Macaca fascicularis: one gene and its partner. The protein of the gene in region 1 binds, or shares a complex with, the protein of each later gene. Links are inferred from orthologs where the notes say so. Each region holds a gene or a part of one and is shown on either strand. Other genes may lie near its edges. The genes, in order: TIMP2 and MMP2.

Region 1 (15,725 bases):
GCGCGCGCACGCACACACACAACTTCACTTACAGTTTCAGGGCTTGTGACCACCCCCAAGCCCACCAGGCCTATCTCCGGCTGGGTGTTCGTACGCTCTGAGTTAAGACCCCTCTTTTATAAAGACTGTTCCTCAACTTGCTTCTTAGAGCAAACACACTCTCAACCTGACTTGCGGGGGCTCCAGAAGCTTTCCCTGGGCTCCAGTGTGACCTGGCTGACGGGGGAGTAGCTCAGCCCTCAGTTGTAAGGTGGGGGTCATCGGGGCTGGGTCTCTGTGCCCTTCCCTCTGCTTCTGGACAGCCACGCCCCAACAAATGCACAAGGGCACTAGGGCGTCAGGGCACAGGCACTGGGGACTCCAGCCCACTCAGGTTGCAGGGGTCCAGGCAGGTGGGCCCTGGGAGGTCCTGAGGACACCAGCTTCATCCTGCCTGCCACTCTGAGACATCCATGCTCCTGACCATCTCCCCATTGGGAAGTCTGGGTCTGCCCCCCTTCCCTCCTCCCAGCAATCTCAGGGCAGCTCATCTGCTTGCTTACCCCGCCCCCCGACACTGAGGTGGTCAGAGTCTCCACACTTTCTGTTCAGACCCATGGGCAACAAAACAAAACCTTGGCCAAGCACTCACAATATCAGATACTCATTAAAAAATTATACATAGGCCGGGCACCATGGCTCACGCCTGTAATCCCAGCACTTTGGGAGGCCAAAGTGGGCAGATCACTTGAGCTCAGGAGTTTGAGACCAGCCTGGGCAACATGGCGAAACCCCATCTCTACAAAAAATTCAAAAAATTAGCTGGGCATGGTGGCTGCTTGGGAGACTGAGGTGGCGGGATCGCTTGGGCCCAGGAAGTTGAGGCTGCAGTGATCTGTGATTGTACCACTGGACTCTGGCCTGGGTGACAGAGCCAGACTCCGTCTCAAGAAAAAGTAAAAGACCATCGTAGCCATGCAACCACTTGCCCTCAGTCCCTGGTTTGTGAGCCTGTGCATGCACCGGGGGATAGAGGGAGCGTCCAGGGCACGCTCCCCTCCTGCCCCAGCCACTGCCACGTCTGCCTGTCTTGGCTTCCTTCTTATCTCCTCCTCCCTACTGTTGCATCCATCCTCACAGCTGCCTGAGAAGCCTTAGGCAGACCTCTTGGTTGTTTCGGAACACACGAGATTCAACCGTACATGCGACCCCCACTTCATCGAGTCAGTGGTTCTGCGTCAGGACCGAGGTGGCTGCCTGCGCCTCTCGGTCTCCCAGGAGTCATCTATGCCCTGTTCTCCATGTGCTCAGATGTCACCACAGGGTCTGAACCTCTCAGCCCACACCAGTGGCATCTACCTAGCAACCTGGCTGGGACAGCAGGGAGGAGGGAGGCAGGTACCCAAGCCCACCTGCAGCTCACAAACCACAGGCTGGGACTGCGGAAGTGGCTCCGCACCACCAGAAGCGTGCAAATGGCGGAGGCCCGAGACACTCCCAGGCTGGCTATGCGCGGCCTGGAGGTACGGCAGGTGCTCGAAGGAGCTCTCCCAACAACACACATTTCTCCCTATGTGGGATCTGAGGACATTGCCAGCCTGGGAGACATTTCTCCCTGTGTGGGATCTGAGGACATTGCCAGCCTGGGAGACATTTCTCCCTGTGTGGGATCTGAGGACATTGCCAGCCTGGGAGAAATGTGTGTTGTTGGGAGAGCTCCTTCGAGCACCTGCCGTACCTCCAGGCCGCGCACAGCTCTCCCTGCTCTTCCAGTCTCCCTGCCTTGGGAGCTGCCAGCAAATTCAGGGGCCAGTGACTCCCCTGGCAGATCCCGTCCCTCCAAGGACACTGTTCAAAACCAAGCCAAAGAGCCCCAGTTCTCCCCGCAGCTCCCTCCTCAACCTACCATGGGGCCTTCTATCACCTCTTGCGAATGCATTTCACATTGTTACATGATTACTTCTGAATTTTGGTTATTTCGAAAGTTTATCTGTTGTTAATTATTTACCCAAACCACATTGAGTGGACTGACTTTATACCACAGCCCGGCAGTTGAGGAGGGGAGGCCTGCTCACCACGCCCTGCAGCGGGAACCCCCTTCCACACTGCCTGGTGCCGAGATGTACAGTTCCACCCCCTGCGTCCCCCACGACAGGGTTAATGTCTTGCTTCTCCCTTACATACCCTGGGGCAGAGGCAGCCACTCCATAATTGCTTGTTGAAACACAGACAAGCCCGATACAAAAATCAAGATGAACGAAACTAACAATACAGATCAATCACATACTTTGCACAACAAGTCGCCAACAGTTTCTTTAAAAAGCGCCACCCCTGCCCCCTTACATGGAAGGCCTGACCCAGCTCACGTGAATCTGATGCTGTGTTGCTTTTCCTGAGCACGTGTCCTGAAGACAGAGCCATTTTTGACTGCGTGCTGTGTGTTTTCTGGGGTGGCCCCTACTCTCTGTCTGGTCCCTGTCTCTGTGTCCCACAGAAACCATGTCTCCCTTGGCCGTTCACCCCAGGAAACAACAGGTGTTCCCCTCTTGGCTGTGGACCCCTCTCTAGCTGGAGCTGGAGATCTTGGGGGGCTTTGCAGAGGGCAGTTTCTGGAGATGGGAACATGTGGGGCAGATGTCATCACAGAGGTCTTCTAGGATAATGTGGCTTTAGGTACCGCCATCCAAGCCAGAGAAGAGGTTTCATTCTCTGCATCCAGAGAGCTCCTGGCTTTACCCTTGAGTCCAGAAACCAGCCCAAGCAGCCTGAGTCTGCCAAGTAGCTCAGCTGGCTAAGTGGCTCCAGGCATGGTACTGCCTGAATGGTGAGCCCAAAGCTAATTTCCAGCCAGATCCCTGTAGCTGTGCAGGCTGGCAGTAGATGTGAAGGATTTCACTGGGTGAGAGGGAGCCGGGCCAGCAGCGCGTTTGAATAGTGCTGTAACTGAGACACAAAATGCTTCCTGTTTGTGCTGGTCTTGCTGGAAAGGACGAGGACCTGGGGCCTTCCAGGAAGAAACCAGGTCATCTCTTACCATCCCTTATCCTAAACATCGCCATCTCATAATGAATTATCTTTGCCAACCACAGTTCCAGTCCTACCAGCTGCAAGAGCTGCTAGGGAGATACCTCCCAGAAATCCTTAGCCGGGCAGACAGAAATCTGACTGTTTCTTAAGCCAGTTGCCTCTTGTAGACACCAAGCCATTTAACAAGCCTGCATGCAGCCAAGAGTAAAAGGAGCCAGCTCGCCACATAACAAGCCTGCCTTTATTAACCCCCACTGTACCCCCTTTCTGAGACCCCTGAGTCACAGCCCTGGTTAAATCACCTGTGGGCCTTTTAAACTGCAAAAGCTGAAGTCTGAGCCAGATGCTCTGTATCTGCAAAGGGATCCAGACCTGAGTAATCTTTAAGAATCTTCCAGGCATTCTGCTCTAAGCCAGAATGGGGAACCATCGCTGAGAAAGTCACAAACCTGCATCGCTTCAAGGAGAATCGAACACTGGAGAATAGACAGACCACTGTCTTCCCTGTGGGATTTGTTCCGGGGCCCTACCCTGGGATGTCCTGGGTTGTTTATCCCAAGTTGGTTGAGCACGGAAAGGGTGACTGGGAATAAGAGACGGCAGCCTGGATGTACTGGGTTGAATTGTGTCCCCCTCAAATGCACATCTACTCAGATCCTGTGAATATGACCTTATTTGGAAATAGGGTATTTGTTGATATATCAAGATGAAGTCATACTGGATTAGGGTGGGCCCTAAATCCAATGGCTGCTGTCCTTATAAGAAGATGGAAATTTGGCCGGGCGCGGCAGCTCACGCCTGTAATCCCAGCACTTTGGGAGGCTGAGGCAGGTGGATCACCTGAGGCCAGGAGTTCGAGACCAGCCTGGCCAACATGGCGAATCCCTGTCTCTACTAAAAATACAAAAAATTAGCCGGGTGTGGTGGCAGATGCCTGTAATCCCAGCTACTCGGGAGGCTGAGGCAGGAGAATTGCCTGAACTCAGGAGGCGGAGGCTGCCATGAGCCGAGATCTTGCTACTGCACTCCAGCCTGGCTGTCTCAAAAAAAAAAAAAAAAAAAAAAAAAAAAAAAAAAAAGAAAGAAAAAAGGAACAGGGAAATTTGGACACAGAGACACCCAAGAGAGAAGCCCATGTGAAGACAGAGGCCGAAATGGAAGTGATGTGTCTACAAACCAAGGAACATCAAGGAGAGAGGCCTGAAAGAGATTCTCCCTCTCAGCCTCGGAAGGAACCAGCTCTGCGGACGCCTTTTCGGACTTCTGGCCCCCTGAGCTACAGAGAATCCATTCCTGTTCTTTTAAGAATCCCGGTTTGTGGTCGTCTGTCACAGCGGCCACAGGAAGCGAATGCCCTGAGCTCTGCAGTGCACCTCTGGCATCTGACTGGGCCTCTGAGCTGGGATGGGGTGAAAAGTTTTAGCTAAAGGATGATGTTGATGCAAAGATTTAGACACAAATGCCAGGCAACCCAGGAAAAGGAGAGTGTTGTGCCAAGCATGAAGGAGGCAGGAGGCACGAACTGCAGCCCTCCGCCCTCTGCCATCCTGGATCCACACCCCACGCAGAAACAGCTCCCAGCTTAGTGGCCGCCTTAACTTATGCCAAGCAAGGACAGAGTGGCTGCCTGGACATTCTCCCACACAGCTGAGGAGTGTGTGTGTGGGTGCGGGGGGAGCGGGGAGGAGGGTCCCAAGGCCCAACTCCTACGAATCCACCTCCCAAGTCCTTCTTGCCGCAGCCTCCTTCTGGGCCTTGGCTACATCCTGCCCCACCACGTGCTGGTCAGCCCAAGAGCCTGGACAGGCCTGCATTCCCCATGGACCCCCAGAGAAAGGCCCATTATGGCTCCCTCATCAAAGGAGCCTCTCCTTCACCCCCAAATCTTGCTGAGCACCAAGGCTAAACTGGAGAAAAGACCTCATTTCCCCCAAACTGGGTTTTGTGGAAACTGTGACACAGGCACACGCCACGCCTTCCACCCATGTGGCCTGAGCCACCTGAGACCTGCGATCCCAATAGATTGGCGCAACTGAAAACTTCCCCGGCTGGGGAGGCAGCTCCCAGGGCTAACTGGGGTGGGGCAAGAAGCCGTGGGTGGGTATGGGAAGGGCGTGGCTGACAGCAGGAGAAACAGAAACTCCCACCTCCAGTCTGGGCAGGTGAGGGGCCCCCGCCTTGCTCCATCTGCCCTGGACAGGCCACTCGACTGAGACTCAGACATAAGGAGGAAGGAGGGCAGGGGGCTCTGAGACCACTTGCTGTGTAGCCAGACTTGTCCCAGGAAAACCATGCTGACCAGCACCAGTGCTGCAGAGGCTTGAGGTGTAGGACCAGGGTGGAAACTTCGGGCCAGCGGGTTCCTCCCATTTCTGCTGGTCCTCCATGGATCAGAACAAATAACTGGGCCCCTCCTCCCTCCCTCCATGGCGCCTGTCTTTTGGGGGCTAGGAGTCCTGAGGTCATGGGTATTTGCTGGGGAATCTCAGCCACACAGTCCCACGTGCCGGGTCCAGTCATCAAAGTCTCCAGCTTTTGTGGACGTCCCGAAAAAGCGGAACATTCGGGGGTCCCGGTCCCTGCCCAGCCAGTTTGCAGGGCCTCCTGGGCAGGGCACGAAAAAGGAGCCAGGCCAGGGGACGCCACTGGCTTTTCTCACCTGTCCCTCTGGGCCTGTGGAACCTGCCTCGGGTAGGGCGGGCTTCCATCTCATCCTGGCTTGATCGGGGAGCCCCCAAATGGGGCTGGTGGGAGAAGCCCCGCAGAGAAGCCCTTCCCCACCCAGCCCCAAGCCCAAAGAAGCCCAACTCCCACCTTATCTGCGAAAGTTTCTTCCTGGGGTCCCCAGTCCTCCAGCCCCCCGCCCCCACGCCGTGTCCCCCACGCTCCCTGCCCCCAGCGCTGGCATCCCAGGGTGCGCCGCCTGCCAAAAGCCAAACTGGCTCCCTTTCCTGGGGCTGGAGCTGCGGCGGAATTTCGGTGGAATTTTGAGGTTGAGACGCATCTCGGCAAAGAGAGGGAAAGAAAGGGAGAGGAGGGAGGGGTGAAAGAAAGTCGGCTCTGGGCGTCCACTTGCAAGATTCGAGAAGACGCCGAGGGACCAGGAGGCGGGCGCTGTGGTCCCTCGGCCAGCGGCGGGCGGGCGGGGCGTCCGCGAACCCACGGGGGTCGTGGGGGAGGTGGGGCCCCGCGCGGGGGCGGGGGTCGCCGCTCCTTACCTACATCTGCATTGCAAAACGCCTGTTGCGGGTGCACCGGGGAGCAGCTGCAGGCGTCGGCCGGGCGAAGCAGCGTCGCCAGCAGCAGGAGGCCGAGCGCCAGCCGCAGGGTGCGGGCCGCGGCGCCCATGGCGGGCCGGGGAGCTGGGCGAGCGGGGGCCGCCGCCGGGGGTCCGGGCGCTGCTCGCGGCGGCGGGCTGGGGGCGCGGGCGGGGGCTGAGCCGGGGCCGAGGCGGGCCCCTCCCGCGCGGCTCACCCTCCTCACCTGCCCCTCTCGGCCGCGCAAACTTTCTCTCCTCTTTGTCTCGGGGGCGCGAGGGGAGGGGCGCGGGGCGCAGTTCGCCGGGCGGGGCGGCGGGGTGGGGGGCGGCGGGCGAGCGGCGCTGCGGCTCCCGGCGGCCGCGCTGCCTTCTACGGATGTGTTTGCTGCGGGCTCGGGCCGTGCCGCCGTTTTATTGCGCTCGGAGGATTTTCTGCTCCTCCTCCCGGTGGCTGGCGGCCAATGCAGGCTCCGGGCGCTCCCAGCAGCCCCCTCCTCCCCCTCCGCCCGCGCCTCCCCCCAGCCCGCGCTTTTGTTGTGCCCGGCCTGGCACGTCGGGGGCTTCCCGCACCACCTGGCGCCCGCGGCCCACACCCGTGCGGGGGTCCCCGGACGCCCCCAGCCCCCCGACCCCTGTCCCCGCTGGGTGGCCTTCAGCGCCCGGGGGCCCTGACTCAGCGCGTGGGACTCGCGCCCCGTCCCTCCAGGGCACCGGGCCACCCACCCGCCACCCTTTCCCCTCCAGCTCGACTCTGGAGTGCTACGCTGCTCCGTCCCCCGCCACCCCGGGGTCCCTTCGAGCTCAGCCTCGAGGCGAGCCAAGGGGTGTCCTTTGGAGCAGGGGCCGTTCCCTATCGCCGCCTCCCCGTTCCTGTGGGCGGGTGGCCAACTGAGAAACAGACAGGATCCCTTTTTCAAATGGAGGCCTTAGAATTTCAAGTGCGCCTGGCCAGTTTAGTTGGGGGGTGGGGGTGTGGTTACTGTGAACAAAACAGGATTTTATATAAACTGGCCATATTTTTGACCAGCCAACAAGAGACGGGGGTGGGCCCAGGCGCCCAGGAGCCAGTAGGATCGCAGCAGAGGCATTGGCTGGGCTCCGCTCACAGTTTCCTCTCTTAGCCCACAAATGTGGGAGCCGAAGGACTTTTCCCAAAACAGTTTTGTGTTCCAGGAAAGACCCAGGCATATGAAGGGATGAACATGTGTAGGGTGGTGAGGCGGGCCTCCTGGCTGTGAACCTGCCTGCGCCCGGCTGCGGGCACCCACCCTGCACATCCGGTGTGTGCCCCGAGGGGCTCCGTGGACACTGCTGCACTGAGATCAGCATTCCAGGGTGTTTACAGTCCAGCTAGGGAGATGGAAGCCTAGGAAAATGACACAAGAAGAATCAGGGCGGGCACGGTGGCTTGCGCCTGTAATCCCTGCACTTTGGGAGGCCCAGACCGGAGGATCACTTGAGGCCAGGAGTTTGAGACCAGCCTGGCCAACATTTAGTAGAGACAGTGAAACCCCGTCTCTACTAAAAATACAAAAATTAGCCTGGTGTGGTGGTGCACGCCTGTAGTCCCAGCTACTCAGGAGGTTGAGGCAGGAGAATCGCTTGAACCCAAGAGGCGGAGGTTGCAGTGAGCAGAGATGGCGCCACTGCACTCCAGCCTGGGCGACAGAGCAAGACTCCGTTTTAAAAAAAAGAGAAGAATTGTCCGCTAAACTGTGCAGTGCTGACTTGAGGTATGAAATTTTGGAAAATAGTGAAAGAATGGAAAAACAGCTTCTTTCTGTTTGTGTATGCTTTGTAACAGCTCTGAGAAAAGTTAAATAAGCAGAGCCGTTATTTTTAGCACCCTGACAAATCCAAAGTCACTTTTTCAGTTTTTGTTAGCGTGAAATAGAGTTGTGTCGTTCACAAAATGATGTTTGAAGCTAACGTTTAAAAGTACAGTTAATTCAGAAAATTGTTATGTGCTGGCTGCCTGCAACCATTTCATTGTTTTCTTTCCTTCTTTTTGGTTACAAGGAGAACAAAATGCGGTTGAGCTTGTGTTTCAATTTGTCAGTTCATGATAGAAACAGGTAGCTTAGGGGCTCTCGGTCTTTTAGACAAGCTCTACACATAAATGATCAGGTACATGTTAGGGTGATAAATACTTAGAGCAGCCGTGGTGCCTACAACCAAGGGGGCGGGGCCAATATGGATGTACCTGGGAGGAAAGGCGGGCCTGGGCTCCAGGGTCAGGGGGCATGAGACTGGAACTTCCAACCCAAGGCCTCGCACCTGCGTCCTGGACTGCCCTCCCCGAAGACATCCGCACCAGCACACAAACAGGCTGGAATTGCTCCCAGGAAAAGTTAAGCAGAAATCTTGCCAGGTGCAGTGGCTCACGCCTGTAATCCCAACACTTTGGGAAACTAAGGTGGGAGGATCGCTTGAGGCCAGGAATTTGAGACCAGCCTGAGGAATATAGTGAGACCCTTCTCTACAAAAAAAAAAAAAAAAAAAAAAATTAGCTGGGCGTGATGGCGCACACTTGTAGTCCCAGCTACAGGGAAGCTGTGGTGGGAGGATCGCTTGAGCCTAGGGAAGTCAAGTCTGCGGTGAGCAGAGATCGCACCACTGCACTCCAGCCTTGGTGACAGAGTGAGACCCTGTCTAAAAACGAAACAAAAATCTTCTCTCCCCCTCAATTCCCCCACCAGAGAGTACCCTACTTTTCTGCTGCCTCTACCATTATCTCCTCCAAACAGGTCTCTAAACCAGAAGTTTCCAGCTTTCTTTTCCTCCCTTTTCTCTTGGTTCTCTCTCTCTCTCTCTCTCTCCCTCCTTCCTCCGTCCATCAACAAATACTCATTTGAGCATCTGCTGTAGCCTGGACACCGTCCTAAGAGTGAGATTCAGTGTCTAGAGAACAGAGGAACATCCCTGGAACAGCAGGTGGAAGCACGCAAGGCTCCAAGGTTGGAAGGTGCTGGACCTGGTGGAGCCCGTGGTGTGGCAGAGGAGTGAGAGGAAGGAGGGCTGAGGCAGGAGGCCAGGAGCAGGGGCTGGGAGGGGACACAGCGGAAGGCAGCCACATTACCGGGAGGATGTGCATTTTGTTCTGAGTGAGGTGGGATCCTTTGGAGGGTTCTGAGCAGAGGGGCAGGATCGGACGCATCCTCTGGAAGGATGGGACTGTGGTGAGGGGCCCAGGTGAGGGCAGGGAGCCCAGTGAAAGGGCAGGTGCTGCAGATGCAGAGACTCCAGAGCCACAAAATGGTGAGCACAGAACCCCTTTCTGGTTCAGTGCCGTGAATGGCTGACCTGGGGCTGTAGAGTCAGATGCAGAGAGGACTGAGGTCTGAGGGGCCAAATGACTCTCCCAAGGGCACAGCAGGGAAGTGAGAGGGCAGTCCCAGAAGCCAGGCCTCCCTCACAGCCCACAACTCCCAGCTTGCTGACCCAGCCATCTCCCTGCTGCTTGGGGCCCTCAGGGTCTTGGCTCCTGAGCCAGCTTCTGTCCCATTGACCACGCTCCACCTTCTTTTCCAGTTAGGGTCCTCCCACCTCAAAACCAAGGAAACTGAGGCCTCACACTAGGAACCTAATGAAGACAGGGAGTAGACTGGAATCTGGCTCATGGCAGCACAAACCCACTTTTTCTTTCTTTTTTCTCTTTTTTTTTTTTTTTTTTTTTTTAGAGACAGGGTCTTGCTCTGTCACCCAACCTGGAGTGCAGTGGCTCAATCTCAGCTCACTGCAACCTCTGCCTCCCAGGCTCAAGTGATCCTCCCACCTCAGCCTCCTTCGTAGTGGGGACCACAGGTGTGCCCCACCACACCTGGCAATTTTTATTTTTTATTTTTTATTTTTTTAGACAAAGTCTCGCTCTGTTGCCCAGGCTGGAGTGCAGTGGCACGATCTCAGCTCACTGCAAGCTCCACCTCCCGGGTTCATGCCATTCTGCCTCTGCCTCCCGAGTAGCTGGGACTACAGGCGCCCGCCACCACATCTGGCTATTTTTTTTTTTTTTTGTATTTTTTAGTAGAGACGGGGTTTCACCGTGTTAGCCAGGATGGTCTCAATCTCCTGACCTCGTGATCCACCCGTCTCGGCCTCCCAAAGTGCTAGGATTACAGGCGTGAGCCACCGCACCCGGCCACACCTGGCTATTTTTTGTATTTTTTGTAGAGATGCAGCTTCTGCAAACCGCTCCTTCTCCTTGTCCTTCTCTGTGCTCTGTGGCCAGGAGGGCTCAACCTTGCAAGACAAACTTGAACACGGGGAAGGGCCGCCACCCACAGGGGAAGGGACATATGCCCCACGCCCAGGGCAAGAGAGGAAAGAGCAAAGCTGACCCCGGGTTGGGAGCTCCCTCCACTGTTTCACTGCCTTTTTTTTTTTTTTTTTTTTTTTTAAAGACAGATTTTTACTCTGTCTCCCACTGGAGTGCAGTGGCGCCATCTCGGCTCACTGCAATCTCTGCCTCCCAAGTTCAGGCAATTCTCGTGCCTCAGCCTCCCAAGCAGCAGGAATTACAGGCGCCCACCATCACACCCTGCTAATTTTTGTATTTTAAATAGAGAGAGGGTTTCACCATGTTGCCCAGGCTGGTCTGGAACTCCTGCGCTCAGGTGATCTGCCCGCCTCGGCCTCCCACAGTGCTGGGATTACAGGCATGAGCCACCACGCCCAGCCCATTGCTTCAGCCCCCTTCACTTCTCATCTTGATATTGGTGGGTGGACTACCGGGGGACCATAGGGGACATCCAGCCCAGCCACAGCCTGGGGGACCCTGGCTTGGACCAGTTTAAGAGCAGAGGCTCTCAGCCTCTCAGGACAGACAGGAGCATGAGGGAGCCCTGTGAAGTGTGGGGGTGATTTCAGGGCCCTCAGACCACACTCCAGGGGCCACCGCTTCCCACGAGGAACATCGCCTGGCTCCCCTACCCGCTTAAAGAGACCTTCCCGGCAGAGAGCACAGCAGAGCTGTCAGGCATGTGTGCACCCGTGCCCAAACACACCCGGCAAACACGTCCCAGGCTGGACATGGTGAATGCTGTCTGGGGCCGGAGGAAGTGCCAAGGCCTACTCCCTGTTGCTTCCGTCTCAGGCCACCAGGCAGGATGCCCTCCCTGCGGTACCGGGCTGGCAGGAGGACACTGCTCTTCTCGGCGGCCTCGCCCTCCCAGGCTGGATGAGAGCCATCTTCCCCTGAGCAGGTCGCGTTCTCTTTCTGGAGACAGCTTGAGTGGACCCGAAGCGCCCCCACTCTTTCTAGGAGGTTCCCAGAGAGCCAGATGTTCTCATCCAGAGACAGCATGGACTTTGGCCCCACACAGCTGGGAAACTGACCCCCTGCTGACAGCTGAAACTCTGCCCTCAGGGGAGTGTCCGGGCAGTCTCAGGGGGCAGGGAGCTGGCAGCTGTAGGGAAAGATGGGGACCATGTCTGAGTCTGGCTGTCTGGGAGCTGACACATCAGTCAGGTGACACATGGCTCTCAGCGAGGAGCAGGCAGCTCATCTGTGCCTCCCTATCCAGCCGGACCTCAGACTCTTGGTCACAATGGGCACCCAGCCCAGGTTTCCGTCCCCAACGTCCACTGGTGGGGCTGTTCGCCACAGGACATCCTGAAGATGACAAGAAGGTGAGACAAGAGTGATGGCTGGGCATGGTGGCTCACGCTTGTAATCCTAACACTTCGGGAGGCCGAGGTGGGCAGATCACTTGAGGTCAGGAGTTTGAGACCAGGCTGGCCAACATGGTGACACCCCATCTTTACTAAAAATACAAAAATTAGCCGGAATTCACTTGAACCAGGGAGGCAGAGGTTGCAGTGAGCCAAGATCATGCCACTGCACCCCAGCCTGGGCAACAGAGCAAGACTCCATCTCAAAAAAAAAAAAAATAATAATAGAGTGACTGGGACCCACCGTGCTTGAGAAAAGATCCACAGGCAGCATGAGCTGCTCATCTGTTCTGTGGCGAACGTGCTGAAGGGCATTTCGACATGGATTTCATTCGTATTATTCTTCATTAGGGGCCGGGCTTCTCAGCCTTGGCACAGTTGACATTTGGGCCAGATCCCTCTTTGTGGGGGGCTGTCCTGGGCACTGTAGAGTGTTCAGCACCATCCCTGGCCTAGACCCACTAGATGCCAGCACCTCTCCAATTGTGACCATCAAAAATGTCTTAAGATATTGCAAAATGGCCCTGGTTGGAAACCACTAACTGATAAAAGTCTTCGGTCCTGAGCAAAGCAAGGTGCAGAGACATAGGAACAAAAAGGTTCTATTTCATAGAGAACAATAATGCAGATAGGAGAGTGAAGGTCCCCACAGCCTGGAGACCAAGGCACGCACCACGCTGCTGACACCGATTGTCAGGGGAGTGAGGCCAGGCACAGAATTGATTTTTTTTTCTTTTTTGAGACGGAGTCTCGTTCTGTCACCCATGCTGGAGTACAGTGGCACGATCTCAGCTCACTGCAACCTCTACCTCCCAGGTTCAAGCGATTCTCCTGCCTCGCCTTCCAAGTAGCTGGGATTAGAGGCACCTGTCACCACGCCCAGCTAATTTTTGTGGTTTTAGTGGAGATGGGGTTTTACTATGCTGGTTGGGCTGGTCTCGAACTCCTACCTCAAGTGATCTGCCCACCTCAGCCTCCCTAAGTGCTGGGATTACAGGCATGAGCCACCGTACCTGGCCGAAAAAGATTTCTTTTAAGTGTCCATGGTATGGACAAAGTGTCTTGTGCCTGTAATCTCAGAACTTTGGGAGGCTGAGGCAGGAGGATCACCTGATGCCAGGAGTTTGAGACCAGCCTGAGAAACACAGTGAGACCCATCTTGACAAAGAATTAAAGAAATTAGGTGGCCGAGACCAGGTGCAGTGGCTCATGCCTGTAATCTCAGCACTTTGGGAAGCCAAGGCAGGTGAATCACTTGAGGCCAGGAGTTCCAGAGCAGCCTGGCCAACATGGCGAAACCCTGTCTCTACTAAAAATACAAAAAGTTAGCTGGGCGTGGTGGCATGCCTGTAGTCCCAGCTACCTGAGAGGCTGAGGCGCGAGAATCACTTGCACCCAGGAGGCAGAGTTTGCAGTGAGCTGAGATCGTGCCTCTGCACTCCAGCCTGGGTGATAGAGCGAGACTCTGCCAAAAAAGAAAAGGAAAAGAAAAAGAAAAAGACAAAAGACAAAGAGAAGGAAGGAAGGAAAGAGAGAGAGAGAAAGAAAAAAAAGAAAGAAAGAAAAAGAAAGAAGGAAAAAAAGAAAGAAAGAAAAAAGAAGAAAGAGAAAGAAGAAAGAAAGAAAGAAGAAAGAGAGAGAAAGAAAGAAAGAGAAAGAAAGAGAAAGAAAGAAAGAAGCTGGGCATGGGGGCACGTGCCTGTAGTCTCAGCTTTTCGGGAGGCTGAGGTAGGAGGATCACTTGAACTCAGGAGGCGGAGTTTGCAGTGAGCTGAGATCGTGCCTCTGCACTCCAGCCTGGGTGATAGAGTGAGACTCTGCCAAAAAAGAAAAGGAAAAGAAAAAAGACAAAGAAAGAAAGAAGGAAGGAAAGAGAGAAAGAAAGAAAAAAGAAAGAAGAAGAAAGAAAACAAGGAAGGAAGGAGGAAGGGAGGGAGGGAGGGAGGGAAGGAAGGAGGGAGGGAGGGAGGGAGGGAGGGAAGGAAGGAAGGAAGGAAGGAAGGAAGGAAGGAAGGAAGGAAGGAAGGAAGGAAGGAAGGAAGGAAGGAATTAGCTGGGCATGGGGGCCTGTGCCTGCAGTCTCAGCTTTTCGGGAGGCTGAGGTAGGAGGATCATTTGAACCAGGAGTTCAAGGCTTTAGTGAGCTCTGATTGAACCACTGCACTCCAGCCTGGGCAACAGAGCAAAAGACTGACTCTGAAAAAAGAAAAAAAAGTTTCCATAATAAAATAGCATGTATAATATTTCATTTATGTGAAGTCAAATATGTGAGTGGATCTAGAAAGAAGTATACAGGCCAGGCATGGTGGTTCACGCCTGTAATCCTAGCACTTTTGGAGGCCATGGCAGGAGGATCACTTGAGCCCAGGAGTTTGAGACCAGCCAGGACAACATGGCGAAACCGCATCTCTACAAAAAATACAAAAATTAACCGGGCATGGTGGCACATGCCTGCAGTTCCAGCTGCTTGGGAAGCTGAGGCAGGAGGATCACTTGAACCCGGGAGGTGGAGGTTGCAGTGAGCTGAGATCGCGCCAGTGCACTCTAGCCTGGGTGATAGAGTGCGACCCAGTCTCAAAAAAATAAAACATAAAAAAAAAGCAGCATACAAAGGTGTTCACGGAAAGGTTAGTGGGTGCGCCTGGGCGATGGGAACTCAGGTAGGTGGGTATCTTCTGTCCTGCTCTGTGTGGAGCAGGTAGTGTAACGTTTCGATGAGGGTCCGGCCCTGAAATGGGCAGCCCTGGGGGTGGGAGTGCAAATGTTCCCCACCCTTTCTGTATAACACGGTTAAAGCCTTCTTGGCCGCAGCCATCAGGGTTCACTTTTTAAAGATCCTGCTCCACCTTCCAGCCACTCTTGGTTCATGCCTCCCTTTGGTTTTTGTTTGTTTTGTTTTGTTTTGTTTTGTTTTGAGACAGAGTCTCGCTCTGTTGCCCAGGCTGGAGTGTAGTGTCACAATCTCGGCTCACTGCAACCTCTGCCTCCCAAGTTCAGGCAATTCTGCCTCAGCCTCCCGAGTAGCTGGGACTACAAGCATGCACCAGCACACCTGGCTAATTTTTTGTATTTTCAGTAGAGATGGGGTTTCGCCACGTTGGCCAGGCTGGTCTTGAACTCCTTACCTCAAGTGATCCGCCCACCTTGGCCTCCCAAAGTGCTGGGATTACAGGTGTGAGCCACTACGCCTGGCCTTCCCTTTGGGTTTTGTTTTGCAAAGTCTATTGATCTATTTTATGCCATCCTACAGGCCATCTTTGAGAAGGTGGGACTTTGGCCTCTCTTCGTCACTTCCATCTACTGTCACCCCACCCTGCTGCCCCTGCACAGACAGGCACCCCTCAGGGCAAAAGCAGCCATGAGCCAGGGCACCTCCCTTTAGCAAACCTGCTTGGATTCCAGCCTTCACAGCCTCAGGCCGCAGCCCCAAAGCCAGCCCTGTTGCCCTGGTCAAGTCTCCAGTGACTCTGGAAAGAGAGGAGAGGCAGAGAGGTCATCCTGGTGGTAAGCAAGAAGCCCACGACATCACTGGCTCCACAGACTGCCACAGGTAAACAGCTTGAACTAGATGACTCAGGCTGAAAGCACATGAACCCTTCCTGCAGGGAGGTCACCTGGATGCAGCAGTGGTTCCACCCTGCTTTTGCAGACCTTGCTTCATGTGGGCTGAAATGGCAGTGCCTCTCCTCTTTGTGGCCGGGTTTTGCCTCCTCTTTGACTCGGAAGCGTCTCCTATCCTGCAAGGACAGTTTGAGCAGGGCCCCTGGGCCCTCCTTCCAAGAGGCTCCTG
Region 2 (15,743 bases), on another chromosome or scaffold:
CTTATTAATGGTGAATGGCTTAAACTCTTACTTAATATAAAGTTTAGCTCTGGTAATAAAAGTGTAAACAGGAAAGGAATTAACTAGTTCTTTGTTTCTTTCGTTCTGTGAAGATGGTTGGTGCTTAGTTTTCAGTTACAATGGGGTTAGGGAGATTCACAGATGTAAAATTACAGACAAAAAGACAGTCTTTAGTCTATGTAGATTAAAGAGTCTTTGTGAGATGGGAAAGAAGATAGTGATAAAAATTTTTAGATTTTTTTCTGTTTTCCCCAGGTTTTCTGGGCTTTCAATCTGCAGAATTATCAAATATGATGACTTCATAGACTATGAAGTTACATACACCATCAAGACTATGAAGTGCGTTAAGGATATTTTTAGAAAGGATTGAGTGTGTATGTCAATATCTATACCCCATTTTAAAAGGTTTCCCCCATGTGGCTTCAAAATATCTGAAAATGTTGTGTCTCAGGCACTGACAAGCACACAAACACAAATACTGAGTCAAGCCTACAGTATTTATCAAGACACAGAGATGCAGACACAAGCTACACAGGAGGCAGAAAAAGACAGTGCCCAAGAGAGGCAGATGGTATAGCCCCTGTGCCCAGACACACATACACACACACACACACACACACACGCATTAGCAGAGGCAGCATCAGGACCAAGGCTGGAGCAATAGGTGAAATTCCTCGGTTGGAGTTCGCAAACCAGGTTGAGTCCAGCCCTGGTCTGAGTCCTGCCTCCTTATCACACTGCTAGGTTTCCAGCTACCAGCAAGCCTTTCCTCATGCCCTTGAAGTATCAATCTTGATTGAAGTATAAAGACTGGTTCTAGAGAGAACCACTGGGCATTGTAATAGTTCTAAGTTTACTCCAATATATGTAAGAAATAAATAATTAGCACATCAAATCTGTGACTCCTAAATGATTGCTAATGGTGAAACTTAAAAAAAAAAATCGACTTGATTTAATTAAAGTATTATGTTCATCATGGTACTGGTGGGAGAGAAACAACAATGGCTCAGATCAGGTTGGGGGGGAACTGAGTGAAGGATGTTGGAGGGATGCTCATTGACTGGCAGTGCCAGCCAGTCCTGGAGAGTGTGGAGGGTGGAGCACAGTGGGGAGCCGGGGAAGCTGGAAGCTTGAGGTGGAAAGTCTTGAGTACTAGAGTGGATGCTCACCTTCGTGGGGACAGAAGCCGTACTTGCCATCCTTCTCAAAGTTGTAGGTGGTAGAGCACCAGAGGAAGCCGTCGCTGCGGCCAGTGTCAGTACAGCTGTTGTACTCCTTGCCATTGAACAAGAAGGGGAACTTGCAGTACTCCCCATCGGCGTTCCCATACTTCACACGGACCACTAAAGGGTGACATGGAAGGGGGAGGTTGGACTTCTCCATGCCTTCTTTGGAGACCAAGATTCTGACTCACCCAGATGTGTGACTTTGCTCCCCTCCCACCTCTCCGGTCCAAGCAGATGGAGTGGAGAGAGGACAGGAGAGAAGGTCTGGGGCATGCAGAGGGCCCCTTTCTCACCTTGGCCTTCTCCCAAGGTCCATAGTTCATCATCGTCAAAGTGGGAGTCTCCCCCAACACCAGTGCCTGGGGCAAAGGCATGAGCCAGGAGTCCGTCCTTACCATCAAAGGGGTATCCGTCACCATGCTCTGAAACACACATTGGGTCTTAGCTTCCAGCTGTGCCACCTAGACCCTGAAACCCCTCCCACCCCATCTACATGTGGAGCCTGTCAGCCCACCCAGCACCTGTCCCCTTCCGTCATCCCAGTGGGGTTATCCAGGACTGCAAACACTGGGGCTCGGTAGAGATCTGCTGACCTGGTTGTTACCATCCTATGGTCTACACTGCTCTCCCAGGTTTACATGACTCCCAGTATCCATACCCGCTACCTTCATTGTCTACACTACCACGATGACACTATACCTACCACATACACACATTACCACACTAGTGTCCTCACCCCATCCTCATCAGCCCCAGTGTCTATGCCATCCACCCTCTTGTCAATACCACCCTCTTAACCACAATCCTGCCTTTATGTCACACTATCACCAATATCTGCAACACGAATCCTCATGCCCACCTTGTCACCAAGGCCTGTACCACCCACCCACTTGTCTACACTGTTTCCCATGCTCTTTACCTTCATCACTTACCACTCAGTGTCTATACCACCTACCTTTATGTCTGTGCTACTGGCAATGTTCACACCATAAACTCACATGGCCACCTGGCCCGGGGTTCTATGACCCTTCCTCTCATGTCTACACTGCTCCATTGTTTCCAAACCACTCTCATATATCTACACTTCCTCAGTATCTACCAGCATCATCCAACAGAGCTTTCTGTGATAAGAGGAAAATTCTTTGTCTGTGCTGTCCAAAATCAATAGCCACTAACCTCCTGTGTCTTTTGAGCACTTGAAATGTGCCCAATGTGACCTGGAAATCGATTTTAAATTTTTAACTAATTTAAATTTAAATAGCCATGTATATTCTACCCAATGGCTGCCATATTGGACAGCATAGTAGACCACTTGCTTCGGGTTTAGACGGCCTCCAGGTTACACCACAGCATACCATCTGCCCCTATGTCAACGTGGCTCTCCAGTGTCCACTCCGTGTTGTGTTGCCCCCATCTAAACCACCCCCAGGGTCCACACCATCTACTGTCCTATCTAAGCTGCCCTCAGGATCCCCACACCCCTCTAATGTCCATCTCGCCCCTTCGTCTCGACGCTGTTCCCTGCTGGCCCCTCTTCTGCCCCATCTTCTGCCTACCCCAGCGGCCAAAGTTGATCATGATGTCTGCCTCTCCATCATGGATTCGAGAAAACCGCAGTGGGGTCACATCACTCCAGACTTGGAAGGCACGAGCAAAGGCATCATCCACCGTCTCTGGGTCCAGATCAGGTGTGTAGCCAATGATCCTGGAGGTGGTAGAAATGCATGTGAGTGTGTATGCATGGGCATAAGTGTGTGCATATGCAAGTATGTGTGTGTGCACAGATATGTGAAAAAGTTTGAGTGTGTGTGTATGTGAACATACAAGTATATGCACAAGCATGGGAAGGGTGCACAAGTATGTGCATGTATATGTGAGCATGTGCCTGCATGTATGTGTGTGTAGGTTAGGCAGGGCTCACTGCCAAGAACAAACTTCCCAGGATACCTTGAAGACCCAGGGAGTCCCAGGCCAGCCAACATTTTTAGGCCTCAGCTCAGGAGTTCCATCTGTCACTTCTGGCTGGTGGGGGAGGGCCATAAGTGTGCATTATGGGGCATAAGGCAAAGATCTCACCATTGGAACCCAGCAGCAGCCATACAGAGCACAGCTCTCAGCCCAATTAGCAACAATTTATAACCCAATTGGGCTGCTAAACTCAATTAGCTACCAATCATCACGTTCCTTCTGCCCATCCCAATGACCTCAACTAAAAACAATAACAATGGCTAGCATTACTACACTCTTGCTCTGTGTCAAAAATCATAGAAGTCATTTGTATTAGTTCAGTCTAGGTTAGTTCCCCAACCAACCATGTGGGGAAGGGCATTTTTAAAGCCACATTTTGTAGATTGGAAAGCCAACATTCACAGCACTGAAAAGGAACCCAATGTCTGATGGCTAGCAAGTATGAAATTCAAGTCTGTCTGACTTCATTTTCTAAGAACTGTGTATTGAAACTCCCTAAGATGCCAAGCCTTCACAAAAGACACTTCATGGATCCCCTGAGTGGAGAGAATGCATGGGTCAAGGAGGCTCGTGTCCCTCAGCCCAATGGCCCTGCCTCCCCAAGCCCTGCCCTAGCACCTGTATGTGATCTGGTTCTTGTCCCACTTGGGCTTGCGGGGGAAGAAGTTGTAGTTGGCCACATCTGGGTTGCCGCAGCGCGGCTTCCGCATGGTCTCGATGGTATTCTGGTCAAGATCGCCTGTCTGGGGCAGTCCAAAGAACTTTTGCATCTTCTTTAGTGTGTCCTTCAGCACAAACAGGTTGCAACTCTCCTTGGGGCAGCCATAGAAGGTGTTCAGGTATTGCTGAAAGAAATGCACACCCCCAAGGCAAGCAGCCACATTAAGATGGCACAGTATTAACCAAAGCAGGCTGTAGCAATCAGCCCCCAACCCAGTGCCATAGTCCAGACAAGATATAAGCCAGGGGTCCCAGAGCACTGGGTGGAGTACTGGGTTCCCAAATCAGCACTGGCACCCCTTAGTTGAGCGACAGGACATACAGCTATAGAGAGCATAGCTACCGCTTGTTGGTGCTGGGTGCTGACTATATGCCCAGGCACGAAAGTCAGAATATGTTAATTCATTTAATGCTCAAAACTCTATAATGTAGATATACTATCCCTGTTATACAGAGGAGGAAACTGAAGCACAGAGAGGTTAAGAAACTTGCTTACGATCACACAGTTCACAAATGGTAGATCCGGATTTGGGACAAAGCAATCTGGCTCCAGAGCCTGTGCTAGGAAACGTGATACTCCAGCATCCTTCTTTTACCTCTATCAACTCTTTTATCTACCTTGCAGCTGGTGACTTGGGGACTTTTTTCTTCCTTTTTTCTTCTAAAGAGATTCAAAGACTATGTGCATGGGCTCTGGCAGCAGACAAACCTGGGTTCAAATCCTGAATCAGCCATTTGCAAAAATAAAGCAGTGCTGTCCTTCAGGAGCCATACAACTGGCCTTGCCCAAACAGGCCAAAACTGAGCAGGTCCCTGCAAAGAGGTTCAGGGAGCAACAGACTCATTTATTTAGTCAACAAATACTTTTTAGCACCTACCACGTACCAAGCCCAGTGCTACTGCTGAGGATAAATTGGTGAACAAGATAGACAGCTCTGTCTCTAAAGTTCAATCCTAGCAGGGAGGCTGATAGATCACAAATAAAACCAAAATGAAGTATGTGATAAGTGCCCTGTTGGAACGGTGAAAAGAGCCAGGAGATCGTCTGACAATGGTCCTAGCCTTCTTGGAAGTAGTTAAGAAAGGGGAAATCAAGGACATAATAATAATATAATAGGAATAATGACTAGTGCTTATTGAGTACTTACCATGTGCTAGGTAAGCACCTAAGATTACCTCTCTTTTAACCCTGAGATATGGAATTTCCCAGTTTGCAGATGAAGAAACTGAGAAGTCACTTGCCCAAGATCATCACTAGGCCAGCTAGTTAGTTCATGCACCCTTTGATTTGAAGCCAAGCGGTCTCAGTCCAGAGCTATCTTCTTAAGCCCCCCACTGCATTGCCTAGGGACAACACAGACTTCCGTTTGTCAGTGGTGTTCAAACCAGGCACCTCCATCTTGAGTAGGGGCTGGGTAAGATGAGGCTGAGACCTGCTGGGCTGCATTCCCAGGAGGGCAGGCATTCTTAGCCACAGAATGAGACAGGAGGTTGGCAGGACTGATTTCACAACATACAGGTCAGGTCACAAAGACCCCTATGATAAAACAGGATGCAGTAAAGAAGCTGGAGAAAGCCCACCCAAACCAAGACAGCAATGCAAGTGACCTCTGGTCGTGCTCACTGCTCATTATATGCTAATTATAATGTATTAGGATGTTAAATACATTAGACACTCCCACCAGCGCCATGACAGTTCATAAATGCCATAGCAACATGGAGAAGTTACCCTATATGGTCTAAGAGGGACAGGAACCCTCAGTTCCAGGAACTCCCCATCCCTTTTCCGGAAAACTCCTAAACAATCCACCCCTTGTTTAGCATATAATCAAGAAATAACCGTGTGTATACTCACTCAAGCAGCCCATTCCCTGGTCTGCCTATGGAATAATCACCCTTTTATTCCTTTAGCTTCTTAATAAATTTGTTTTCACTTTACTCTGTTGGCTGGCTCTTGAATTCCTTCCTGTTCCACGCCAAGAACCCATGTGGCCCCCAGGCTGAGCCCCAATTTAGGGGTTCATCCTGTGACCCATTGGCTGGAAAAAGTGTAAGGAACCCAAGCAGCTTTGTCATTGTCCCACAGCTCCACTCTCAGCCCCACCCAACAGCCACATCATTATGCTAGCCAGCTCCAGACCCTTGAAAAAAGTAGCCCTCTAAAAATGTACAGAGGTTTCCCAACCCATCTATCCAGAGGGGGCTGAGACTTAGCTGCCTGGAAAGGGTGAGAGTTGGGAGAGGGTAGGTGTCATCTCCTGAAGGAGTTCCTAGGGTGACCAGAGGTCATGGGCGTCTTCTCCCGGACAGGTTGAGGGGGAGGCTGGAGGGCAGGGTGGCTGAGGCAACAAGGGAGCAGATATCCCCCGGAGTGGAAAGGACATCTTGAAGGGTCCCTGGCTGGCCTCCCTCCTCAGGCCCTACTTACGCAACACTGCGGCCAGGCTCAGTGTCCCTCCAGCCAGGCGCGCGCACGCTCACAAGACAACATCTGAACCGCAGTTTGGGAACCCAGCCAGGAAGGAGGACTCGCTGGCCGCTCTCCGACCCTAGCGGAGCGCAGTCCGCCCCCGCCCCACGCGCCAGGCCCTCCAGCGCCTGCCCCACTCCTCCTCCCTCCTGCCGGGCAAGCTCTCTCCTTCTTTCCTCCGACCCTTTGGAGAAGTTCGAGGAAACTTTCCGAGGCCCAGCCCTTGACCAATTTGTCCATTAAGCCAGGTGAAAAAAGATGCGCTCTCTGCTTCCCTCCTGCCCCAATCACTTCCCAAATGGTCCCCTTGAGCTGTTTATTTAAAGGCCCCTCTCCGGATCTGTGCTGAAGGTTCCTAGAAGTTTGCCAAGCCCCGCGTTGGCTAAGCTCCCTCCCATCCTTATGCGCGCATAAATTTACCCAAATTGTGTGCCAGAGCCCCGTTCCCAAAGTCCTACATTAGCAAAAACGACCCCTTTAGCTGTCTGCCAAAGGCCTACCAAGACGCTTGGCGAGAGCCCTTAGCAACTGCCCAGATGTGTCCAAAAATTGTTTACAAAGACCGCCCCCCCTTGCCAAATGTCCCAGATACTAGAGGAGGTCCCCGCCATTTACATAAGAGTCCCTTTCCAGTAGTTTGCCAGGTCACCCCTCTCCCGCTCTCTGGCTTGTTTTTCGCCCCACTGCTGTATCCTGAAGGTTGCCAAATTGTTTATCAAAGGTCTTCTCTGCTTACAAAAGATCCCCCACCGTTTGCAAGACATCACTCCAATAGCTTACCAAAGACCCCCCAAGCTGTTTACCGAAGCCCCTCCCCCACACTGTGTGCCCACCGCCGAGGGCAGGGGGAGAGACACCCCCATGTTTTGCCTCCGAAGTTTGTCTAAACTTGGTTCCTTGAGGCCAGCGCAGCAACTCACCACTGCCAACTCTTTGTCCGTTTTGGGGGCAACATCGCCGGGGAACTTGATGATGGGCGACGGCGCGGCGGCGGCATGGCTCAGCAGGCAGCCCAGGAGGCAGAGCGCCCTCAGGGGACCCGTGAGCGCGCCCCGGGCCATTAGCGCCTCCATCGTTGCGCTCCCGGGCCCCGTGCGTCGCCCGGGGGTCGCTGGCTCCGTGCGTGTGGCCGCGTCGCCGCCTGGTTGGAGCCTGCTCTGCGGCTCAGGGCTGCGCTCCGAGGGTCCGCTGGCTCGGTGGCCTGGGTTTTGCCCGGCTCAGCGGCTCATGGTCCGGCCCCCGCGCCCCCGCTGCCGCCGCCGCCGCCGCCGCAGGTCCTGGCAATCCCTTTGTATGTTTAAAGCCCCAGATGCGCAGCCTCCAGCCACCGCCTGAGGAAGTCTGGATGCAGCGGAAACAAGGGAGGGCAGCCGCCAGATGTAGCCGGCTGGGCTGGGAGGGAGCTGGCTGGGCCGGGCTAGGGGTGGGGGGCGCATTCGGGCCCGCCCCTCTCTGCCCCACCCCCCTACTCGCCCTCCTCCGCTTTTCTCTCTTTTTCCCTTTCTCCACCTCTTTTCCCCGGCCGCCTGCTACTTCTGGCCTCCGCGTCCACCCTCAGTGCACGACCTCGTCACCCCACTTCCCTCTCTCGAGATCTGGGCGCACAGCCTCAGAACCCCTTGCTGGGAAACATCTGGCGCTGTCGCTCTAGGCCCTTGACGTCCTGAGGTTAGAGAGTGGTACTACTTGGAGGAACGCCGGCTGGGCCAGGACTCCCTGCACTCCCTGGGGTCAGGAACGGGAAGGAATGGTCAGAAACAGATGATCAGCCACATTGATAGATGGTCAGAGACAGAAATTTTCGATATTTAGAAATGGGGACAGAGAGGAATGAGATGAACAGAGATGGAAAGAGATAGAGAGATGGAAACAGAAACAGTGGAACGTCCCAGGTTGCTTCGCTACCTCTTTCCTTCTGCAAATGTGTAAGCCTTAACTTGGCCTCGCGTAGTGCGAGATGCTAGATACACCTTGGGAAACAGAGTAGTCACGGGCCCCGCGTTAGAGACGTTTGAACCAGAGCGACTCCATCTTGAACAGGGGGCTGGGTAAAATGAGGCTGAGACTTGCTGGGCTGCACTCCCAGGAGGGTCCGCATTCTCAGTCACAGGATGAGATAGAAATTGGTCAAGACTGGTTTAATAAGATAGAGGTCACAAAGACCCCACTGATGAAACAGTATGCAGTGAAGAAGCCAGCCAAAACCAAGATGGCAAAGAAAGGGACCTCTGGTCATCCTCACTGCTCATTTTATGCTAATTATAATGCATTAGCATGTTAAAGGAAGCACCCACCAGTGCCAAGGCAATTTATAAATGCCATGGCAATGTGGGGAGGTTTACCCTATATGGTCTAAAAAGGGGAGGAGCCCTCAGTTCCAGGAACTCCCCACTTACTCTTGAATCCTTTCCTGAGCCAAGCCAAGAATCCATGTGGCCTCTCAGGTTGAATGCCAATTTTGAGGTTCTCCCCGTGACAACATTCTCTGAGGAATGTCCTCTACCTCTGTCAGGAAAGACAGTTGAGAGATAAGCTGCGATGGGAAACTCTCGCAGGCTATTGGGAACACCTGACTTCAGCCCTTAAACTAGCAAAGACAATCAAGGAAGGCTTCCTGGAAGAAGTGACTTCTGAGTTGAGACCTGAAGAGCTAAAGATGTGGAGTGCTGGGTGGGGAATATGGGAAAAGTTTTAGGCACAATCTAGGGAACATTGGCAAAGGCCCAGAGATGAAAAACAGCAAGAGGCACTGGAGAAGGAAGTTTTTTCCATCTGAAAAAGGTGGGGCACAGGGTGAGGGGATGGAGCTGGAGGGGTCAGTAAGGACCAGCCTAGGAAGGGGGCAGATAGGACTGGGGTTCAGCAGGGAATAGTTTGAGAAGCAAGGTCAGGGGCTGAAAGAATCAGGAGCAATATGCTTGTGGAGGGCTTTGGAGGTCACGATTATGAGTCTTGATCATCACAGCTGGAAAAGTCTCTGCGGCTTGGGTCTCAGTGGGCTTCGGACAAGTTCAGGCTTGTCTGAAGGGGGGTGTGTGCTGCTGACTTGCCAGAGTCAGTTTTAAAGGAGCCTCTTGGGAGGGACCTTGCCCGGCAGGAGGGAACCAGGCCCTTCAGCCTGACCCAGTGAGAGACCTTGGCTGTTTTGGAGAGGGCAAGACTGAGGTCAGTTGGGAAGGGGGATTGCCTGCTGGCCCAGCCCCACTGGGCTCGTGTCCACGTCCTGTGAATAGCCAGAGAGCCAAGTTGGAGAGCTGAGAGCTGAGAGTGAAAATGGAAAAAGTTGTCTCACTAAAGCAGGGGCTGCAAACTCGTGGCCTGTGGGCTGAATCCAGCCTGAACAGCATTTTGAAATTTGGGACACTTCATGTAAAAATCTGACTTTCTGGTTTTCTTTTTTTAAAAAAATTTCCCAAAAATCTGGCAATACTGGATGCCAGTTTCCATATGGCAGTAATTTGCTGAAGCTGAGTAGTGACTGCTCCCTTTAGCTGGTTTGCCACAGTCCTCACCACTCTCTGTCGTATTGCCTTGTATGTGACTTCCTTCACTAGGTGTAGCTCATTTACACTTGCTCAGTTTGAGTTTTAACCTTTTCGGAAAATCTTTGGGGTCTACATAACATAGCTTTGGGGCTCCTCTGGCAGAGGGCAGCTTTGACTGTACCTCTTCACAGCCTCTGTGGTTATGGCATTCCAAGGGCATCGGTTTCCAGTGTACGGGCTTGGTGCCCATTCAGAGATGGCAATGGCTGCAGAAGCAGCATTCAGTGAGAGAGAGGCTTCTGTGCCCAGCAGTGACTATGTCAGAGGCATTGGAACCAGAGCAACTCCATCTTGAATAGGGGTTAGGTAAAATAAGGCTAAGACCTGCTGGCCTGCATTCCCAGCAAGTTAAGGCATTCCTAATCATGAAATGAGATAGGAGGCTGGTATAAGGTACAGGTCATAAAGACCTTGCTGATAAAACAGGTTGCAGTAAAGAAGCTGGCCAAGACCCACCAAAACCAAGATGATGATGAGAAAAACCTCTGGTCAGCCTTACTGCTACACTCCCACCAGCCCCACGACAGTTTACATGTGCCATGGCAACATCAGGAAGTAATCCTATATGGTCTAAAAGGGAGAAGCATGAATAATTTACCCCTTGTTTAGCATATAATCAAGAAATAACCATGAAAATGGGCAACCAGCAGCTCTTGGGGCTGATCTGCTGATGAAATAGCCATTCTTTCATTCCCTTACTTTCTTAATAAACTTGCTTTCACTTTATGGACTGCCTCAAATTCCTTCTTGTGTGACATCCAAGAACCCTCACTTGGGGCCTAGAATGGCCCAGGCGACAAGCAGAGAACAGGCAGTATCTGATGATAATGGGCTTGTTGGTGAGCACATGCAATATGCTCCAGGGCCCCTGTGCACTCCTGTAAATCTCTCTTCCCCTGCCATGGTAACCCTGGGAGCCCCGTGTTGATCTGGCAAAGTCATAAAGTGAAAGCAACTAGACCCACTACAGACTTTGTAAGTGAAAAACAAACTCTTATACAATGAACCACGGAGCTTTTGGGATATGTTTGTTACTGCAGCATCTTTTAGTCAATCTTAATGTAGAGGCAAAAATGCTGTTTAGTGGATAGAATTGTATTCCCCAAAAAGATATGTTCAAGTTCTAATGCCTGTGACTGTGCCCTCACATGGAAATAGGGTCTTTGCAGTTACAATCAAGTTAAGATGAGTGGGCTCTAATCCAATGCCTGTTATCATGATAAGAAGACAAAAATTTGGACACAGAGACACACAGCGAGAAGAACTCCATGTGACCATGGAGGCGGAAATTGGAGCAATGTAGCTGCAAGACAAGGAATGCCTGCAAGACAAGGAATGCCTGCAAGACAAGGAATTGCCTGCAACCCAGAAGCCAGAAGAGACAAGAAGGAATTCTTCTCCAGAGGCTTCAGAGGGATCATGGCCCTGCTGGCATGTTGAGTTTGGACTTCTAGTCTCCAGAACTCGGAGAGGATAAATTTCTGTTGTAAGCCACCCAGTCTGTAGTGTTTTCTTACAGCAGCCCCAGAAAACTACGTGGGCTGTGATTAGAAGACATCGTGATTTGACATGAATTCTGTCATTTATTCCGGACGTTTTTGATGAACACTGTTTTCGGTGCTGGGGTACAGTGGCATTAAGATAGTGTTTTATTGATGAAGACGCAGAAATGACAATGCGGGATGCTAAGCAGGGGACAGAGCATTGAGGGAGGTAGTGGCCATCTGCCATGTAAGCCTTCCCAAGACCCTGTTCTCCTACTTCTGGTTAGCTGCCCCTTAGTTTCCCATTGGGAAGCCACTTCTCCCCAACTCTAGGTCTGAGTTCAGCAGATATGACCCACCTCCTGGCTCTACAGTGGCGATGTGACCCAGGCTGGACTAAAAAGCAGATCCAGACATCTTGGCGAGGTGATGATTCAGATACTGGCTTGTGAATCCGTTGGAGCCAAGGAAAATTAATTCTGGGAGTTTAGCTGGAGGTACAGGTTACCTCATTTGATTCACACTTTGCCCTATTGTGCTGTGCAGATATAGCATTTTTGCAAATTGAAGGTTTGTGGCTACCCTGCGTCAAGCAAGCCTATTGATGTCATTTTCCCAATGGCATGTGCTCACCTCATGTCTGCGTGTCACATTTTGATAATTCTTGCCATATTTCCAAATGTTTCCTTATTATTATATCTGTTATAGTGATCTGTGATCAGTGATCTCTGATGTCACTATTTAATTGTTTTGAAGTGCCACAAATGTCAGGCCTCTGAGCCCAAGCTGAACCATCATATCCCCTGTGACCTGCACATATACATCCCAATGGCCGGTTCCTGCCTTAACTGATGACATTCCACTATAAAAGAAGTGAGAATGGCCAGTCACTGCCTTAAATGATGACATTACCTTGTGAAATTCCTTCTCCTGGCTCATCCTGGCTCAAAAGCTTCCCCGCTGAGCACCGTGTGACCCCCACCCCTGCCAGCCAGAGAACAACCCCCTTTGACTAATTTTCCTTTACCTACCCAAATCTTGTAAAATGGCATCACCCCTATCTCCCTTCACTGACTCTCTTTTTGGACTCAGCCCGCCTGCACCCAGGTGAAATAAACAGCCTTGTTGCTCACAGAAAGCCTGTTTGGTGGTCTCTTCACACGGACGCGAGTGAAAGCGAATACCAGGGTGAACTTAATCCATATACCAGAGTGAACTTAATCACCCTTGTGAATGTGTGTGTTTGACTGCTCTACCAACTGACGGGCCATTCCTCATTTCTCTCCCTTTCTGTGGGCTTCCCTATATCCTACGATCAACAATATCAACATGAGGTCAATTAATAACCATACGATGGCCTCTAAGTGTTCAGGTGAAAGGAAGGGCTGCACATTTCTCACTTTACATCAAAAGCTAGAAATGTTTAAGCTTAGTGAGAAAGGCATGCCAAAAGCCCTGAGAGACCGAAAACTAGTCCTCTTGCACCAGGTAGCCAAGTTGTGAATGCAAAGGAAAGCTCTTAAAGAAAATTCAAAGTGTTATCCCAGTGAACACACAAATTAAAAGAAAGTGAAACAGCCTTATTGTTGATACAGACAAAGTTTGAGTGGTCTGGATAGGAGAACAAAGCAGCCGTAACCTTCCCTTAAGATAAAGCTTAGACTAGAGCAAGGCTCCAACTTTCTTCAATTCTGTGAAGGCTGAGAGAGGTGAGGAAGCTGCAGAAGAAAAGTTTAAAGCTAGCAGAGGTTGGTTCATGAGGTTTAAGAAAAGAAGCCGTCTCCATAAGATAAAAGTACAAGGTAAGCAGTAAGTGCTGATGGAGAAGCTGTGACAAGTTATCCAGACGGTCTAGCTAAGACTGTTGATGAAGGTGGCTACACTAAACAACAGATTTTCATTGTAGATGAAACAGCTTTCTATTGAAAGAAGATCCCGTCTAGGACTTTTATATCTAGAGATGAGCAGTCAATGCCTGCTTCAAAGGACAGACTGACTCTCTTGTTGGGGGTTAATGCAGCTAGAGGCTTTAAGTTGAAGCCAATGCTTGCCTGCTAATTCAAAAATCTTGGGCCCTTAAGAACATTTCTTTCAAACTACCATTGCTTATTGAGAAGGCACCTGGCCACCCAAGAGCTCTGATTGAGATGTATGAGATTAATGTTTTCATGCCTGCTAACACAACATCCATTCTGCAGCCCATGGATCAAGGAGTAATTTTGATTTTCAGGTCTTATTATTTAAGAAATGTATTTCATAAGGCTATAGCTGTCATACATAATGATTCCTCTGATGGATCTGGGCAAAGTAAATTGAAAATCTTCTGAAAAGGATTCACCGTTTCAGATGCCCATAAAAACATTCATGATTTCATGGGAGGAGGTCAAAATATCAACATACCAGGAGTTTGGAAGAAGTCAATTTCAACTCTCATGGATGACTTTGAGAGGCTCAAGACTTCAGTGGAGGAAGTAATTGCAGATGTGATAGAAATAACAAGAGAATTAGAATTAGAAGTAGAGCCTAAAGATGTGACTGAATTGCTGTAATCTCATGATCAAACTAGAACAGATAAGGAGCTGCTTATGGATGAGCAAAGAAAATGGTTTCTAGAGACAGAAATCTACTCTTGGTGAAGATGCTGTGAACATTGTTGAAATGACAACAAAATATTTAGAATATTCCATAAACTTAGTTGATAAAGGAGTGGTGGCAGGGTTTGGGAGGATTTACTCAAATTTTGAAGGAAGTTTTAGTGTAGATAAAATGCTATCAAACAGCATTTCATGCTACAGAGAAATCTTCTGTGAAAAGAAGGGTCAATCGATGCAGCAAACTGTATTATTGTCTTATTTTAGGCAATTGCCACAGCCACCCGAGCCTTCAGCAAGCACCACCCTGATCAGTCAGCAGCCATCATCAATGAGGCAACACTCTTCGTCAGCAAAAAGACGATGACTCACTGAAGGCTCAGATGATTGTTCGCATTTTTTTTTTTTTTTTTTTTAGCAATCGAGTGTTTTTAAATTAGAGTACGTACATTGTTTTTTAAACATAATGCTATGACACACTTAATAGACTATAACATAATGTAAACATAACTGGTTTTTTTTGAAACAGGGTCTTATACTCTGTCACCCAGGCTGGAGTGCAGTGATACAATCATGGCTCACTGCAGCTTCTACCTCCTGGGCTCAAGTGATACTCCCACATCCGCCTCCCGAGTAGCTGGGATCACAGGTATGCACTACCATGCCCAGCTAATTTTTTTGTGGAGACAGGGTCTCACTATGTTGCCCAGGCTGGTCTCAAATTCCTGGGCTTAAGCAATGCTGCCCCCTCAGCTTTCCAAATTGCTGGGATTACAAGTATGAGCCACTATGCCCTGCCCATAACTTTTATGTGTATTGAGAAACCAAAAATCGTGTGTGACTTGCTTTATTGCAATATTTGCTTCATGGTGGCTGCCTGGAATTGAACTTGCAGCATCTAGGAGTTATGCCTATATTTGGGATGCATCTACACTTTCAGCTATAAATGAAGTTGGTCTGACCTAAGGTTGGAACTACCTTTAAGGTTAGAGGCTTCCCGAGGTTGAAGTTTCTCCAATGGGAACAGAGCCAAAAAATCAGTGGAAACCCTGGACCCAGCCCTGCCTGTAGCCAGATGTATCCTTCATTTTCTAGTTTGTGAGCCAATAAATCTCCTCCTGTCAACCCTTGAGTTTTGTTTTGTTTTTGCTTAAAGCTGCCTGGGTTGAGTTGCTGTCACTTGCAACCTGAAAGTCTTGACTGAAATAGTGAAAGACTTTAGCTGAGAAACATCTTAGCCGAGAAACCTCCCATCTTAATGATAAGAAACTGCAAAGCTTCTTATCTTTACGGTCTCAGCTCCAGTGCTGCCTCCTCAGCGAAGCCTTGCTTGGCTGATCATCCCCTAAAATGAGTCACCTCTGTGTTATTTCATTTCTGGCAGCTACTGCTGTCTTGAAACAATCTTGTTATTTTAATTTCTGACTTCTTTATTGATTTCTGAACTAGAATGTCAGTTGTGTTTCCAGTACTTAGAACAGGGTTTTGCACATAGTAGGTGCTCAATAAATATCTGTTGAACAAATAAATGGTTGAAGAAATGAATGATTCTCCCCTACATATGGGCAGATAGAAGGGCAGGCCCAGTAATCAGAGTTGGGGCTGGTGGGGTCACCCCCAGGGTAGAAGGAAAGGCCAGAAAGAGCATGAAGGCTAGAGAGACCCTCTGCCCGAGGTCCCTGCCCTCTGTCCTGCTGCAGGTCCCAGGTACATCTGAG

What was found.
Region 2: the proteins of TIMP2 (region 1) and MMP2 are in contact, whole or in part, in a crystal structure (PDB 1GXD), measured with the Homo sapiens proteins. The link is inferred for Macaca fascicularis from reciprocal best matches to the Homo sapiens genes TIMP2 and MMP2. Residues at the interface, in NP_003246.1 of Homo sapiens: Ile162, Pro163, Cys164, Tyr165, Ile166, Pro169, Leu173, Met175, Val178, Thr179, Phe191, Arg196, Asp198, Ser200, Cys201, Ala202, Trp203, Tyr204, Arg205, Ala208, Lys211, Gln212, Glu213, Phe214, Leu215, Asp216, Glu218; in NP_004521.1 of Homo sapiens: Trp574, Lys576, Asn577, Lys579, Tyr581, Phe588, Arg590, Lys595, Asp599, Phe602, Lys604, Ile606, Ala607, Asp608, Ala609, Trp610, Asn611, Ala612, Asp615, Tyr636, Leu638, Leu645, Lys646, Ser647, Val648, Lys649, Phe650, Gly651, Ser652.

The regions. Positions count from the first base shown.
Region 1 is NC_088390.1:85,324,187-85,339,911, forward strand, and holds the start of TIMP2 (metalloproteinase inhibitor 2), read right to left. Parts: upstream 6,653-15,725; 5' UTR 6,355-6,652; coding exon 6,225-6,354; intron 1-6,224. UniProt on the Homo sapiens protein: Complexes with metalloproteinases (such as collagenases) and irreversibly inactivates them by binding to their catalytic zinc cofactor. Known to act on MMP-1, MMP-2, MMP-3, MMP-7, MMP-8, MMP-9, MMP-10, MMP-13, MMP-14, MMP-15, MMP-16 and MMP-19.
Region 2 is NC_088394.1:51,465,386-51,481,128, reverse strand, and holds the start of MMP2 (72 kDa type IV collagenase), read right to left. Parts: upstream 7,758-15,743; 5' UTR 7,479-7,757; coding exon 7,326-7,478; intron 4,061-7,325; coding exon 3,834-4,060; intron 2,953-3,833; coding exon 2,804-2,952; intron 1,670-2,803; coding exon 1,541-1,669; intron 1,365-1,540; coding exon 1,191-1,364; intron 1-1,190.